Nothobranchius furzeri: one gene and its partners. The protein of the gene in region 1 purifies or fractionates together with the protein of each later gene. This does not show direct contact. Links are inferred from orthologs where the notes say so. Each region holds a gene or a part of one and is shown on either strand. Other genes may lie near its edges.

The links. The genes of interacting proteins can lie anywhere in the genome.
Region 2: the proteins of lin28aa (region 1) and cdc5l purify together in Homo sapiens (affinity purification with mass spectrometry; 3 studies listed by BioGRID and IntAct, with this or other methods). This does not show direct contact. The link is inferred for Nothobranchius furzeri from reciprocal best matches to the Homo sapiens genes LIN28A and CDC5L.
Region 3: the proteins of lin28aa (region 1) and dkc1 purify together in Homo sapiens (affinity purification with mass spectrometry; 3 studies listed by BioGRID and IntAct, with this or other methods). This does not show direct contact. The link is inferred for Nothobranchius furzeri from reciprocal best matches to the Homo sapiens genes LIN28A and DKC1.

The regions. Positions count from the first base shown.
Region 1 is NC_091745.1:71,963,928-71,967,385, reverse strand, and holds part of lin28aa (protein lin-28 homolog A), read right to left. Parts: intron 2,162-3,458; coding exon 1,977-2,161; intron 1-1,976. UniProt on the Homo sapiens protein: RNA-binding protein that inhibits processing of pre-let-7 miRNAs and regulates translation of mRNAs that control developmental timing, pluripotency and metabolism.
Region 2 is NC_091752.1:40,105,325-40,110,479, reverse strand, and holds the start of cdc5l (cell division cycle 5-like protein), read right to left. Parts: upstream 3,506-5,155; 5' UTR 3,338-3,505; coding exon 3,293-3,337; intron 1-3,292.
Region 3 is NC_091758.1:16,262,930-16,268,371, forward strand, and holds the start of dkc1 (H/ACA ribonucleoprotein complex subunit DKC1), read right to left. Parts: upstream 3,506-5,442; 5' UTR 3,427-3,505; coding exon 3,411-3,426; intron 2,494-3,410; coding exon 2,444-2,493; intron 2,365-2,443; coding exon 2,278-2,364; intron 717-2,277; exon of another isoform or gene 485-716; intron 1-484. Other genes in the region: cinp (cyclin-dependent kinase 2-interacting protein), read left to right, coding at 4,136-4,163, 5,268-5,439.

The DNA of each region.
Region 1 (3,458 bases):
GCAGTGTTTCACCAGGCCTAATCCCAGTTTGCATTTGGGGCATAAAACCTTTAAAAGGGCATTCCAGGCCACAGCAAATTTTACGATAGGCAAAAATGAAGCTTTGGAAGATTTCAAAACATCAAGATTGTAGTGCTCATTCAGGCGTTTTTGGAGCAGGTGGACCTCTTCTTCTGCGTTTCCAAGCAGTTTCCAGGGATCATTTACCTTAGTGTGCACAGCTTGTCTTATTTATCAGTTTGACACTGACAGAAGCATCTGACTGGCCTCCATTGTACCAAAGTGTGGCATCCATTCCGTCGCCATTGAACTTTAGAAAGTGAACGCCGTGTTAGGGTCATTTGGAGCCATCGGGGTGCCATCGGCCACCACGGTTCCGACATAATCTATAGAATGGCCACGCGTACAGGGCTGGAAGACAGATGGACTGTGGGCGTCAGGCGGTAATTCTTTGACTTTGCGGACCCCCTCCCACTTCTGACACTTTTGTGGTAGCAGATGAGGTTTGGACGGGGCGGCTGTCAGGCGGGGGGGGGGGGGGGGGACTTTGTAACGTTGGGCGTTTGAGTGGTGTCAAGGTCTTCACCGTCACATCACAGCAGCTCCCTACATCAGCATCCATCAGGAGGAAAGTGGAAGTGGTCCCTTTGTCTAAAAAAGCTGCAGTAATGACCTCTGAACCCTGACCTCCCACCTCCTCCCCCAAATTCTCTCAGAGCCCCCAGCTCTCTTCCTTTTATTCATACACGGTTGTCATGACAACAATGACCCTTCACCCCCTTTGCCTGAGCTCTTGCATCTGTTATCAATTAAATGGACAGGAACTTTTCCCCCAATGATACACACACACACACACACACGCGCACACACGCACACACACACACACACACACACACAGGTATTTTATGAAATGCGGGCTAAAGTTAAAAACTAGCAAAAACAACCGATTACACCACTCAAAAGGGGTTTTCTATGCTCCTTTACACAGCAGCAGATCCAGAAAGCTCCGCCCGGCGCTGCATAATGAAACATGATGAAGGAGCCTTATCCACGAATCTGGGAGGTTTATGAAGACGTATTGAACCACAGCAGCCTCCCAGGACTCTTTGAAGCGGTAATGATCCTTGTTCTCACACTCACTTCTCTCTGGTTGTAATCACAGCTGACATTAGGTGAAGTTGAGGCGTCCTTAACCTCACGTCGTACCCAAGCTTCAAAAACAGACCCAAGCTTCCCTCCGGTTTTGTTTACTTGACACTTTTTGGGTCATTTAGAAAATCTGGCCCTCTTTTCTCGGTGACAGAGGTTTAGCAACAGAAGGGAGAAAGCGGGCAGGTTTGAATTCACCAGGGAGCAGCAGATTTAAACAGTTATTGATCCGGGTCACACGTCAGGCCCGCTGATGTGACCCCTTGCCGGGGCTGGGAGTGGGGGGTTGGGTTTGAGGGAAAAGGCCCCAAAAAAAGGAAATGAAAGCAACATCATTTTACACATGGCCACAAGCGGAATGGGGAGATTGCTTTTGGATCGATGATTAAAGCTATACCTCATTGTTGTTTTAAAAATAAACAAGCTCAAATATTCCTGAGGAAAAGGGTCTTTCTGAAGAATTTCCCTAACATCTTTAGCCAGGCGTATGTGGATGTCTACCTCATCACTAATCCATGACTTAAAGGGAATTGTTGGATTTCTCTTGGCAGAAGTAGAGCTGATTACAAGCCAGTGAACTTGTTACGAGACACACCGTGCCGCCAAATCAGCGTAATATTACCGCAACAGTGCGTCTCCTAAACGCGGCATGGCGATGCGCGAATTTTGCGACATTCGTTCCGCCTTGCTTGGTAGTAACATTGCAGTAATTGTCCGTTTGACTACTTATAAGCGGCCCAACGCCGGTTCAGCGTTGTGGCAAATCAACGGCCTTGTTTTGTAAAAACAGCCTAAGTCTTTAGACATTCCAAACTTTTCCAGCTCACCTGTCTCCCTTTGAGCGGCGCTTCTGGACCTTTTTGCCTTTGGGCCTCCTCTCGCTGCCCACACAGTGGATTCCTCCGGGCCCGGTGACCCGCTGAGACTCCAGGCCCTTGGACGACTTTTTGAAGGTAAACTCGACAGCTTCACCTTCCTTCAAGCTGCGGAAACCTTCCATATGCAACTTGCTCTGAAGCGAAACAAAGAAACAAACCAATGACCAAGAATTTCCCTCTGGGATTAAGAAAGTATCTCTGATTTGACGCCATAAGAGGTTAAAGGACTATTTTTGGTTCCATCCTGCCTTTGTTTATGCAACAGCTGATTGGTGATAATTAGATGTTAGACAAGCCTCCAGATTGTGGAGACTTTGACCTCCTCTTGTTGTGTGATATGATCAGAACTGCACTTATCAGGTATTCCCCCCCCCCCCCCCCGATAGAACTCATTGTTTACACCCAGTGGTTCCTAAACAGGATCACGCATGACAAAAGCACCTTAAAGCTTCATTTTCTACAGCAGAGAACCTGAAGATACCCCCCCACCGGAGGAACAGCATTCCTCACCGCAGCCCCCACCCCCCACTCCTCTTCCCACCCACATCACAAAGCTCCACTAACACACTGACCACCACCCTAAAAAAACTACAGGATGCAGGGGTGGGTGCTCGTGTTGGGGGTGGGGTGACGAGGTGGTGAAGCCTCTCTGTGTGAGCTGGGGGGGTGGGGGGGGGATCAGGGTGACATTCCTCGGATATTTGTTTGGCAGAAAGACGGAGAAACTGAAGGAAAACAGGAATGATTGATATCTCCACCTGATAGCAGAGTTTTAGCATGTTTCCCTTTTTCTTCACTACAAACAAAATCAGCCTTAAAATGTGCAGGGGGGGGGTTTAAATGCTGAATTACTTCTTTTATTGACACAACACTCACCTGAAGTGAGCTCACCATGTGCAGAAAAAACATCCCCACCCCCCACAGAAACACCAGAGATAAAGGAAGGGAAGGTGTGGTGCAGGTTTGAGGATAAATCCTGGTTAACACGTCATGGGAAACCCCTGGATGAAAATCCCTAGGTGGGACCATGGGATCAAATTGTCACGCACACTGAAAACTGTTTACACTGAAAGAGCCGTCCATTAATTTGGCAACTTTGTTTTGATAGACCGTAATCTGCTTTCTTTGATTCCACCTGGCGCAAAGCTGCATCCATTCATTACTCCTTTATTTGCAGAAACCTCCAGGAATCAAAACAAAGCCATTTATTGTAAGAGGAACCATTTTGCCAAAGTCAGATTTCCAAATAGACAAGCCATCAATCTGTGGAGACGCTGTTTGGGATTAGAAACAGAACAGAGCTGCAGACTAAGCCTCGTTCGGTAGAGACTACAGCCGAGCTGCAGAAGCCTTTTAAACTGTGTGAAAACCAAATGACATAAGAGTGGAAATGTGGACGTCCACTTCCTTCCTCACATGTGACCGCCCCCT
Region 2 (5,155 bases), on another chromosome or scaffold:
GCAGCTGTTAGCCTGCACCCACCCCCCAGAGTTCTGGACTTTCTCACGTGGGTCGGAGCATTATCCTCTGTTTCTGCAGTTTTTACTTGGATGACACAGTGAAGAAAACACAGAAAATGTTCGCTATATAAATGCAAGCTCGTGTGTTTTTCTGCTTAGTGTGTAATCTGTGATCAGAAACAGCAGAGACGTGTTCTGACTAGAGACTACTTTTAATCTGTATGGTTCATTTCCACGTAAAATCTAACATCAGCTAGCCTGGCAAGCCAGACTAAATAAATGTATTATTTAGTCTGGCCATGCTCCATTGACGGCTCTCGGTTGTGGGGCGGGTTCTACCGTTGTCTTTCAAATGATCTCCGCATTCCACTGGACAATGAATGTGACATACTCTTGTTTCACTCTGTTGCATCATCCCACCCACCAGGCATATCGAGTGCCCTGATTGGCCCACAAAGCGGATAAAGCTCTGTGATTTGTTCACTAAGCAGATAGAGCACTATGATTGGCCCACCATTATGGACCAATCACAGCTCTTTGTGCGTTTGAAACCCCTCTAGAGAGCTGTGCTTGGCTAGCCAGAGTCCTGGTAGGAGCTGCGGAGGTTCCAATGGAGCGTGCCTAGACCAAACTTTGCAAAGCAAGAATTTGGTCTAGTTCCCTAGGCTAACATCAGTCAGTAACACTAGTGAATAGTTTGGGTGCACTGGTTTTTATATAGTTTCTCTAATATTTGATACATTTAACTCATTCACTGCCAATGACGGCTAAAGTAGTCATTTGCATACTGTTTGGGCGTCGGAACGAGACCCCCGCACCGTGAGAACAAACATTTCAGCTCTAAAGCCGATTTTCATCCGCATACGTCACGTGATCAGGAAGCAGAAAACCCATGTGTTAGATCTTTCTGGGCCGCCGCGGTAAAAAAAAGTGAGGCGCAAACCGGAAAAGCTTCTGCCGCAATTCACAATCACAATTCATCAACGGATTATGAAAGAATGGATAATGCTCGCAACGCGCGGATTCTTCCTGATGTAAGAGGTGAGTCTACTCTTTGTTTTGGCATCGTCATCATCCTAGCGCGCAACGTTCTGTGACTCTTAAAAAAACTGTAAAAACGGTGAGAAACGCTGGCAGCGAAGGGCTTTACCGATCAGAAAACAGCTGGCAGTGAATGAGTTAATATATACAGTGCTGGTGCCGTCTGCTCTTTCTGCTACAGACTGAAGACTGATGCTCAACACAAATACTAACAACTGTTTCTCCTGTTAAGTTCCTGTCTGATGGCTCACTAAAAGTCAGATCCAGCATGGCGGTTATATCAGCAGGCGGCTGGTGAGCGGACAAAGGTAAAAAATAAAACGACAACCTGAGCGTTCCTCATCTCTGGGGTTAAAGAGAAGATGCTGCTGAGTCAAGAGCACTGAAGAGTTTCATTCATATTTTACATGAAGATGTACTTAAAAATAATCTTTTTTATGTTTTAATTTTTGTGAAGTGCCTCTTTTTTCTTGAGAGGCACTTTATAGAAGATAGATTTCTTCCTTTCTTCAAGATATAGTGAGTTAAAGACTGAATATACTTTAGATGTTGCTGGTGTTTTCAGTGTTATCGATTATTAAATCATTATACATTTATTCAGTAGAATTAATCTTCCTATTCTAAAGTTGTGTATATTTATGTGTAAATTTGCATCCCTGAAAAACATCTGCTTAAAAACATTGTCAAACATTATCAACTTGCATTTCTCTTTTGCCTGTTTTGTATATTTAGTACTTGGTCAGTTTATTGGCATTTTCACTAATCCTGTTAAAATGTTTGATTTTAACACTGAGCTGTGCACAAAATTAAGATTCAACAGTTAGTTAAATGCAGTGTTAACAGTTTAGGTTCAGAAATGTTGTGCGTTCACTGTTGTTTTTAGTGATCATTTAGCATTCAGAGAAGGTGCCAAACACCAAGATATCGGCCATAAAATCAGCTCCAAAAAATAAGCAGCACTTATCGGCCATTGGCTGACCATGACCGCCTCATATCAGTCTCAGCAATAAAAAAACAATATGGGTCAACCTGTAGTTCTGAGTCTAGACCTCAGAGGCTCCAAAAGTAACTGATGTGTGAATGCTAAAGCTCTGGCTGGAGAGAGATGGTGGAGAAGCTCTGGGAGGTAATGTGGTACAACAAAGGAGTAGGAAAATAAAACATGGGACAGAAGTTTAAACTGAACCCCTTAACTGGACAGAAATCCAGTGTATGGAAACCAGTACAAGTGGGATGCGTTTTCCTTCCCGTCAAATGCAGAACAACTTAATGCCATTTGAACAAAGACAGACAGAGACGTGTGTGTGCAATGTAGAAAACTCCAGGGAAGATGTGATAAAGGGATGAACTGCTGTCTCAAATGGGATATATAGGACTTAACTTTGTTAATAAGTACAAGTTTGATGACTGTTGTCTTGACGACCGACCTGTTCGTCAGATTTAAAGATGGAGTTTGAAAAAAAATGACACACAGCAATCTAGCAGATGAATGAATATGAGAGACCAGAATGGTAGTCAGACTGTCCAAATATGATCATTTCCACTTGTTTTTTGTTTATGTCCATCACTGTTTGTACGTCGGATTCTGAATAGATAAAATAACTGATGGAGAAAAAATTGAAAATCACCAGATAAAATGTGTAATCATAACCAGAAATTTTAGTTTTCTCTTGGTTTGTTTATTAAAAGATGTTTTTTTGGTCTTGCGCCCTCCCAAAAAGTATGCATATGTGTACAGACTACTAATGTGTGACTGCCCTATAAGTACTTCAGCAACAATGCCAAGGATTCGGTTTGTAAAACAATGAGAGTTAAATTTAGTAATAAAGGTAAGAATTTAGGCTAGCTAGGGTTCGCTAGGTAAAGCTATCCTGCCGTTGAAAAATCGAAATTATTAGAGACAAGAAATATTTTTTATGTAACCTTAATTTTTTAGATTTGGTTTCTGGTCTTTTTTTTTTTTCCAGTTTAACTTTTACTTACTTTATGATTACAAGTTTCTCTCGCGAGAACGTGCTTTTTCAAACGAAGCCAAGATCATTATTTACTTATCACGTGGTTATCAGTTAGTTAAGAAAATTACAAGACAAGCTTAATGGTACGTAATAAACTGCTTAATGTCGCTGCCCAGTCACATATAAACTAACCTAGCAATGTAAACTGTATCCAGTTATGGGTAACTAGCTTCATGCTAACTGATGCATTGGATTACTGTTTAAGGGTTAGCGTCGTGCTAACCGTAAACACGTACCTCAGTGTTGCGCCAAACGCCACCCTTTATCATAATTCGCGGCATCTTTGCGGTCTGCTGATGTCTCCCTCTTCAACCGAATATGAAAACTACTTCTTCACAAAATTGATGTTCGGGAGAATTTGTAATAAAACAAAACCAACGGAGACGCAATGCGCTGTACGAGGAAGGAAACTACCATGAACCGGATATTGTCAGAAGTCTCCTCCTCTTCCGGTACTTCTGTAAAGTTTTTTTTTAACTAGAAAACTGCCTTCAGCAGTTCTTAGCAGTTATAAGAAAAGAACTGCTAAAAAGAATCATCCTACTCTGTGATAAAATTAATAACACGGAGGATGAACTAAGAGAGCTAAACTTGCTCCAAAAACAGCTTGACGAAATTTATATAGAAAAAGCGAATGGACGGAGCCTTTGTAAGATCCAGGGCTAAGTGGATTGAAGAAGGCGAAAAGAACTCAACATATTTTTATGGATTAGAAAAGTCTAGACAATACAAAAAGAAAATATGCAAATTAAGAAAAAATGACACTGTAATAGTAGACCAAAATCAAATAAAGGAGGAAGTTCAACGTTTTTACTCAGACCTATATAGTTCTAATTTCTGTGAAGAGGAATGTAAATCCTTCTTCACTCAGATAAAGAACAATATTAAATCTATTGGAGAGGAAGACAGAAAAAATCTGGAGGATGATTTGAATATTAAAGAAGTAGTAAATTCCCTGAAAAAAAATGAAAAATGGGAAATCGCCCGGTATTGATGGATTGACCTAGGAATTTCTTAAAATTTTTTGGGAAGATGTTCAAGAATTGTTATTAAGTACATTTAATGAGTGTATAAATGAAGGATGTCTTACCCCAACAATGAAAACTGGAATAATAACCCTTCTTCCCAAACCAAAAAAAAGATTCAACAGACTTAGACAACTGGAGGCCAATTACTCTGTTGTGCAATGATTATAAATTATTAGCGCTATTATATGCAGAAAGACTGGAAACGGTAATTGATGAAATAGTAGATGATAATTAGTCTGCGTTTATAAAAGGAAGAAGCATACATAATAATGTAAGATTAGTACTGGATATGCTGGATTATAGGTCTATTTTGGAAACTGACAGCCTCATTTTATTTATAGACTATTTCAAAGCTTTTGATTCTATAGAACATATTTTTTTATTTTCCACCCTAGAATATTTCGGTTTTGGAAAAAAAAAATTTGTTCAGTGATAAAAATGTTCTATACTGATTTTATCAGTTATGTTACCTTAAACCCAGGACTAACAAAAAGAATAAATATAACTTGTGGAATAAGACAAGGATGTCCAATCAGCCCCAAGCTGTTTATCTTATGTACACAACTATTAGCATATCTAGTAATACATCATCCAAATGTTCAGGGTATAAATTTTTTTGATTATGAATTTCGTTTAAGTCAGTTTGCAGATGACACAGTTTTTTTTTCTAAAGGATAAATCTATGGTTAACAAGGCATTACAAATTATTTCAATTTTTTCCAAAGCATCAGGTCTTCGTCTGAACACAAAAAAATGTGAGTTACTTTCACTGTATGAATGCACAGATAATGAGATAATGTCAATTCCTGTTAAAAAAGAAATAAAATATCTACGAGTTAAGATAATTGCAGACGAAAAACAAAGAGAAGAAATCAACATGAAAGAAAAAACTGATCAAATACAAAAATCTCTGAACCAATGGCTTAGCAGAGATCTTTCTATTTTGGGTTGACATTTATTGTCCAAGTCTGAGGGTATTTCCCAATTGATCTATCCATGTCAATCCCTTTATATCGCTCCAAAAACAGTGAAAAATATTAACGCTATTATATACAAATTTATATGGAGAAA
Region 3 (5,442 bases), on another chromosome or scaffold:
TGTTTAAATTAGCTAGAAAAATGTGAAAAATGTTTATTTTGTGTAATACTGTTTAAGAAACATGATAAAAATGTGTTGTGAGGCGTTTTACAGCGTTAGACAGTAAAACAGCCTTTTAATAGTAAAAAAATGACTTTTTCTGAATTTCTCCTGTATTTAAAAATTGAAAGCGTACAACTATGCCGCGTTATATTCACCTGGACACAGCTCGTCTGTATATTTTTCACCGCAGAGTTGTCCTTTTTTGAATGAGGAACATAGTTATGGGTTTGTGCCGTTTTTCTCTTAACTAGAACATTCTTATAAACAGACGTGCTGAATTTGGCAAGCGCATGATTCACAACACGGAGGAGATTCACGATTGCATCTAGTCAATCAGAAGTAGAACACCGTAGACTGACGCGACAAAAAAACATGTTTAACATCCACTATAACGAACTCAGCTAAAACACTAAGTCCAGCTTGTTTATTTTCTGTTACTTACCGGGCTGGCTCTTCCAAATGACGGCTCACTTGACCGCGGTGCTCTTCCTCAGCCCCCACGTTTTCGTCTCAAATGTTCACTTAGGGACGTCGTGCTTCCGTGCCATGCTAGATGGTTTTTGCATATTTTGCCTTTTCAAGGCATCTAGACTGAAGTGCTCCCATACTCGTGAGGTTTTTGTCCGGGGTTTCTCTAAAGTTTTGTCGCTTCTATTTTCTTCCGTATTTCCTCTTGTTCCGCCATCTCTCACAGCAAGATGAGCGTCAGTAACGTGATACGTCATGAAAACCGAGGGCACTCATTGGCTCATTTCTTCTTCTACGGCTCCACTGGTAGATCAGTGGCTCATTACTGCCACACACTGGCGGCAAATTTAACAGCTTGTAACCGATGTCAGATTGTGGTAAAAAATAGACTTTATGCGGTAAAATATGATTATTAAACAACTAATCGATGACTAAAAAGGTTGTTAACTATTTTAATAATCGATTATAATCGATTAGTTGTTTCAGCTCTAGACAAGACAGAGCTGAAAACGGCTTGTGCATGCGTCGGTCACTGCCTCCGCTCAGGTTTTTTTTTTAATGTATTTATTTTAACTCTCTCACTCACACACACACACCTCAGTCAACATAGTTTTGTTTAACCGTGTGTGGGAAAAATGCCAACAATGTGAGGAAAAAATCAGTTTAATCAAATTAAAATAAATTCTAGTATTTCATATTTCCTAGTTCCTACTGCATGAGTTCAGATGCATTTATTCATGCACTTAAACATTAATGTTCTGATTTTACTGAAAAACTTGTTCTGTAATGGTTTCTTTACTATTGTGATCAAAAATATTTAATCTCAGTTCTGAGGCTGCTCTGTAAATAGTTTTCAGATAAACAATACACATATCAACTTCTGATCAATCCAATTTCAGATTTAAAATAATGCATTGATGTAAACCACACCCACTAATTTACAAATAATAAATAAGAGGTGCATTCATCTGTGTATCTCCTTTGATCCGCATTAGTGATATTTTCAGCACCAGAACAATGAAGCAAAGAAACAGATTCCTGAGTTTGTTAGTAATTTTATTTATTAGGTGCATCTAACCTGTTCTATTTTTCTCTGAAATGAGATCAAATCAGTGCTTCTATGGGTTGTCTCCTCTCTGCACTAGAAAAATTTACTTTATTATAATGTTCACTGTAATGCATCTTGATGTTCTTAACACAAATTAAATCAAAGATATGGGTCAATAATGCCAAATATGTAAATTTTTGTTTCAGTCATTTTTATACTGGCTTAAAAATACTTCATTAAGTCTACTAAGCAGGGGTGTAGAAGGGTTTTTAATATTAACATAAAGGTGAGACTTGTCAATCATTCTCCCCCCAGCACCACCACCGGAAAAATTCCCAGGGGAAACGCTTGTCTGACAGCTAGAGCCGATTCCAACAGGGTTCTAGTCGAGTCAACTCATTACACCAGATGAAACCACAAACATGTCACTAAACAGAGCAGATAACAAATGCTTTATAGCACAGAGTCAATGTGATCAGAATAGGAGGTCGTCTTGGCTGTGGTCAAGTGGGGTCATTCCCCAGACGGCTACTGGTCGTGGTCAGGCAGAACGCCGAGACCCCTCTAGCAGCCGCAGGAGAAGCTCTGATCCAGAACGGAGCAGAAGCAAAGACCACAACAGGCCCACAGCACTCAGAGAATGGATAAACCAGTTCATCATATCACATGACCAGGGTCAAACATGTCAGCAGGCACAAACAGGAGGAGGGGTTCCTGACCTTTAATAACAAGGGCCACTGGGAGGAGTCCAAAGTGGGGACTTTGGTGTCTGGCTGGATTAAAAACTCTTGACTCTCTTGGATCTCCTGTTGAATAAAAACATCAGTTTGTTCAACAGGAAGAGAATCTCCAAATAGATCTTAAGTTGAATAAATTCACACCAACCCCAACATCTTCAGCCACTCTCTTCGACTTCTTCTTCTTCTTTGTGGATGCTGCAAAATAAAAACCAAACTAAAGTAGCATAAATCCTTCCTAAAATCAGAATTCCAGGATTTTCTCAGAGAACAACAATCTACCGGGCCCTAAGTGGTGTTTTGTCACTAGCCAGACTGCTCAAGTGTTCACCAATATTCTAGACGAGTCTTCATGCCCACCGGGAACTGAACATTGCATTATAACAGGTTACTGGTCCCAGGTAACCTCAGGTTAAAGGTCACTAACTCCAGGGACCATACTACACCTGCTTTTTAAAAGAGTGTTCAACAGGTTTATCCAGGCGATTACCTTCATGTGTGCAGGAGCAGCAAACCTGCAGCACGTGCAGCATGGTGGCCCTGGAGATGGGCCCTGCTCCAGTGCAACTCTGAGCCCAAAAGGGCCTTTCAGTGGAAAAAGTACGACCGAAAGAAAGTATTTTATCTGAAGGAACAGAAATTTAAATCCCTGTTGCAGTTTGGTAAATTTGGAAAACTGTAAATGAATGATATAGAGCCCACGTGGCCTGCAGCTGCAGCACGTGGTGGAGCGCACGTGGCTGCTAGCGGAGCTAACAGGCCACTGACCGAGAACCCGCTCTCTCAAAGTTAACTACACTAAACGCTGCTGGAGCTTATGAAGAAAACACGAGTCCACAGAGCAAACCCTTAGTTCTGTTATTGAATTAAACCCAACTACTAAAGCATGTTGGACACGTGGAGGGATTTGTTTGTTTTAACTGGCTCAGACGCTGCCAAACCTCCTCATAGACCAACTTAGGAATTTTTTTTACTGCGATTCCTTCTGCGTAAAACACGCTTGTACGTGCACGTGGACGTGTTGTTAATAAAATCCCTGACTCAGCAGAATTATGTTCAAACTTAGCAATAAATTAAACACAGACTGTCGCTTACAAAACGTGCTCGACACTCACCAGCTTCGTCCGCCATCTTCTAATGAAAGATTCTTCTTCTGCTTGATGTTTTATGGCGGCTGGCACGAAAGTACTTGGTGCACTACCGCCACCAACTGGTCACAGAGCAGAAATGAAACCAAATGAGGTAAATAAATAAATGAATTTGCTATTTAAATACAATTTTTACATAATTAAATATAAAATGGAAAAAAATAAATGTGAAAAATAATTCTGACTTTTCTTTCGGTGGTTCTAATGCTCTTCTTTAATTAACTAGCATCCTGGGGGGAAATAAACACTAAAAAAGGCCAGTGATATTTGGAGTCAGATAAGTCTGTCATTAAGTAGTGAGACACAGATCACTGGTGGGCCTCTAGTGCAATAGTGTGTTAAAAAACGGAAAAAACATGAGATGACTGCGGATTTTAGAAGAAACGGGAACATGCTAAATGCTTGTTCCATCCTGGGAGAGAAGGTGGAGGTGGCGGAGGAACATAAATACCTCAGTGTCCACCCGGACGGCAGACGGGACGGATCAGTGTTTACAGTTAACCCCAAAATCCCACTATCTCCGCGTAGTGGAATTTGAGTGTCCACAGCTGCAGATCCAATAAAAATACTTCCTTTTTTATTGTTTGATAAACGTGTGTCCACTCCAGGCCAGGTGGGGGCAGTAATGCTGCACTGCTACCACCCACAAACGTCGAAGAAGAAGAAGACTCAGCATAATTCAGCTGGATTTTATGCGAGAACTTCAGGATCAGATGGAAGGTGAGGATCTTCTTGATTAGTGAAGTAGTTTTTGTTCAGGTCTGAATAACCTGCAGCTTCCGGGTTAAAACATTCTGATGACGTGTGGATGTTTTACTGCAGGGTTGTAAATGAAACCCTGCAGAACCCAGCTGCCTCATCAACATTCACTAGGACAACTTATTTAGATCGTTCCTGTCCGCAGGTATTCTGTCCCATTACTCGTGGCCACACTGCTCCAGGTGTTCTTTCTCCAGATGTTTCTGCTCTTATCACAGATGTTCAACAGCATCTAGATCAGTTCAGAACAGTCCAGTGCTTGGTTCTGATCCATTCTCGGTGTTCCTAGCTGTGTTTTCTGATGATAGACTCTGGACAGTAGATTTGGCTCCAGAGGGTCTTGGTGGTCCTGGGATTGGACCCTGAACCTTTTCAGGAATCCTTGGTCCAGGTGCAGTGAGTCCAGAACAGAACTGATCTTCCTCCATCTTCTACAGTGTTTCTAGAGCCGATTTCCATCTCATCAATCAAAATGATGCTCTCCCTGAAGCTCGTCAGTGTGGTTTTTGGTGATCTCTAGTCTGTTCTTTTGGGTTTTTCTGTCACCAGGAATCCTCCTGGGTCTTCAACCCCTCATGGTGGGATCAGAAAGGCTTCAACAGTCCTGGATGCATTGTTTGTCTGATTCTTCCTTCTGATCAACCTGAGAGTGGATCTCATCTCGGATCCACGTTCTTAGTGGTTGCCCACATTCCCATCAACCTCCTACTTTATTAAAATTGTCAGCTGAGGTCCCAGGACCATGAAGCTGCCTGGAGACGGTCTATGAGCCGTGGCCTTTAATACCCCTGACCTTTGTGAGCTCATCTGACAGCTAATGTTTCTGTGGTCCAGGTTCAGTTTGGCCCAACCAGCTGCAGCATGACTCCTCAAACGGGTCAGATGATGGCTGATGTGAAGTGAAGTTAAACCAAAAGGACAAATGTCTCTTTAAGGGGGACAAACCTGTCTACCCAAGCTAGTTTAGCAGATCTTTGTATGACAAACAAATCATTTCTGTGTGTGTGTGTGTGTGCTCCGTTTCACTGCATGAAAGGAGAAATAACACAAATTCACGGTTTCTAGGTGATTCTTGTGACACCTCAGCGACCCCATCAAACAGGAGGTGCACCTGGATCACAGGAAGTGCAAGGAAGATCAGAGACAACGCCGCTGACTGGCACAACCTGATGCTCAGGTGGGACAGGCTGAACGACGAAGGATTCAATTTGGCAGCAAGTATCGTCAACATGAGGCAGTG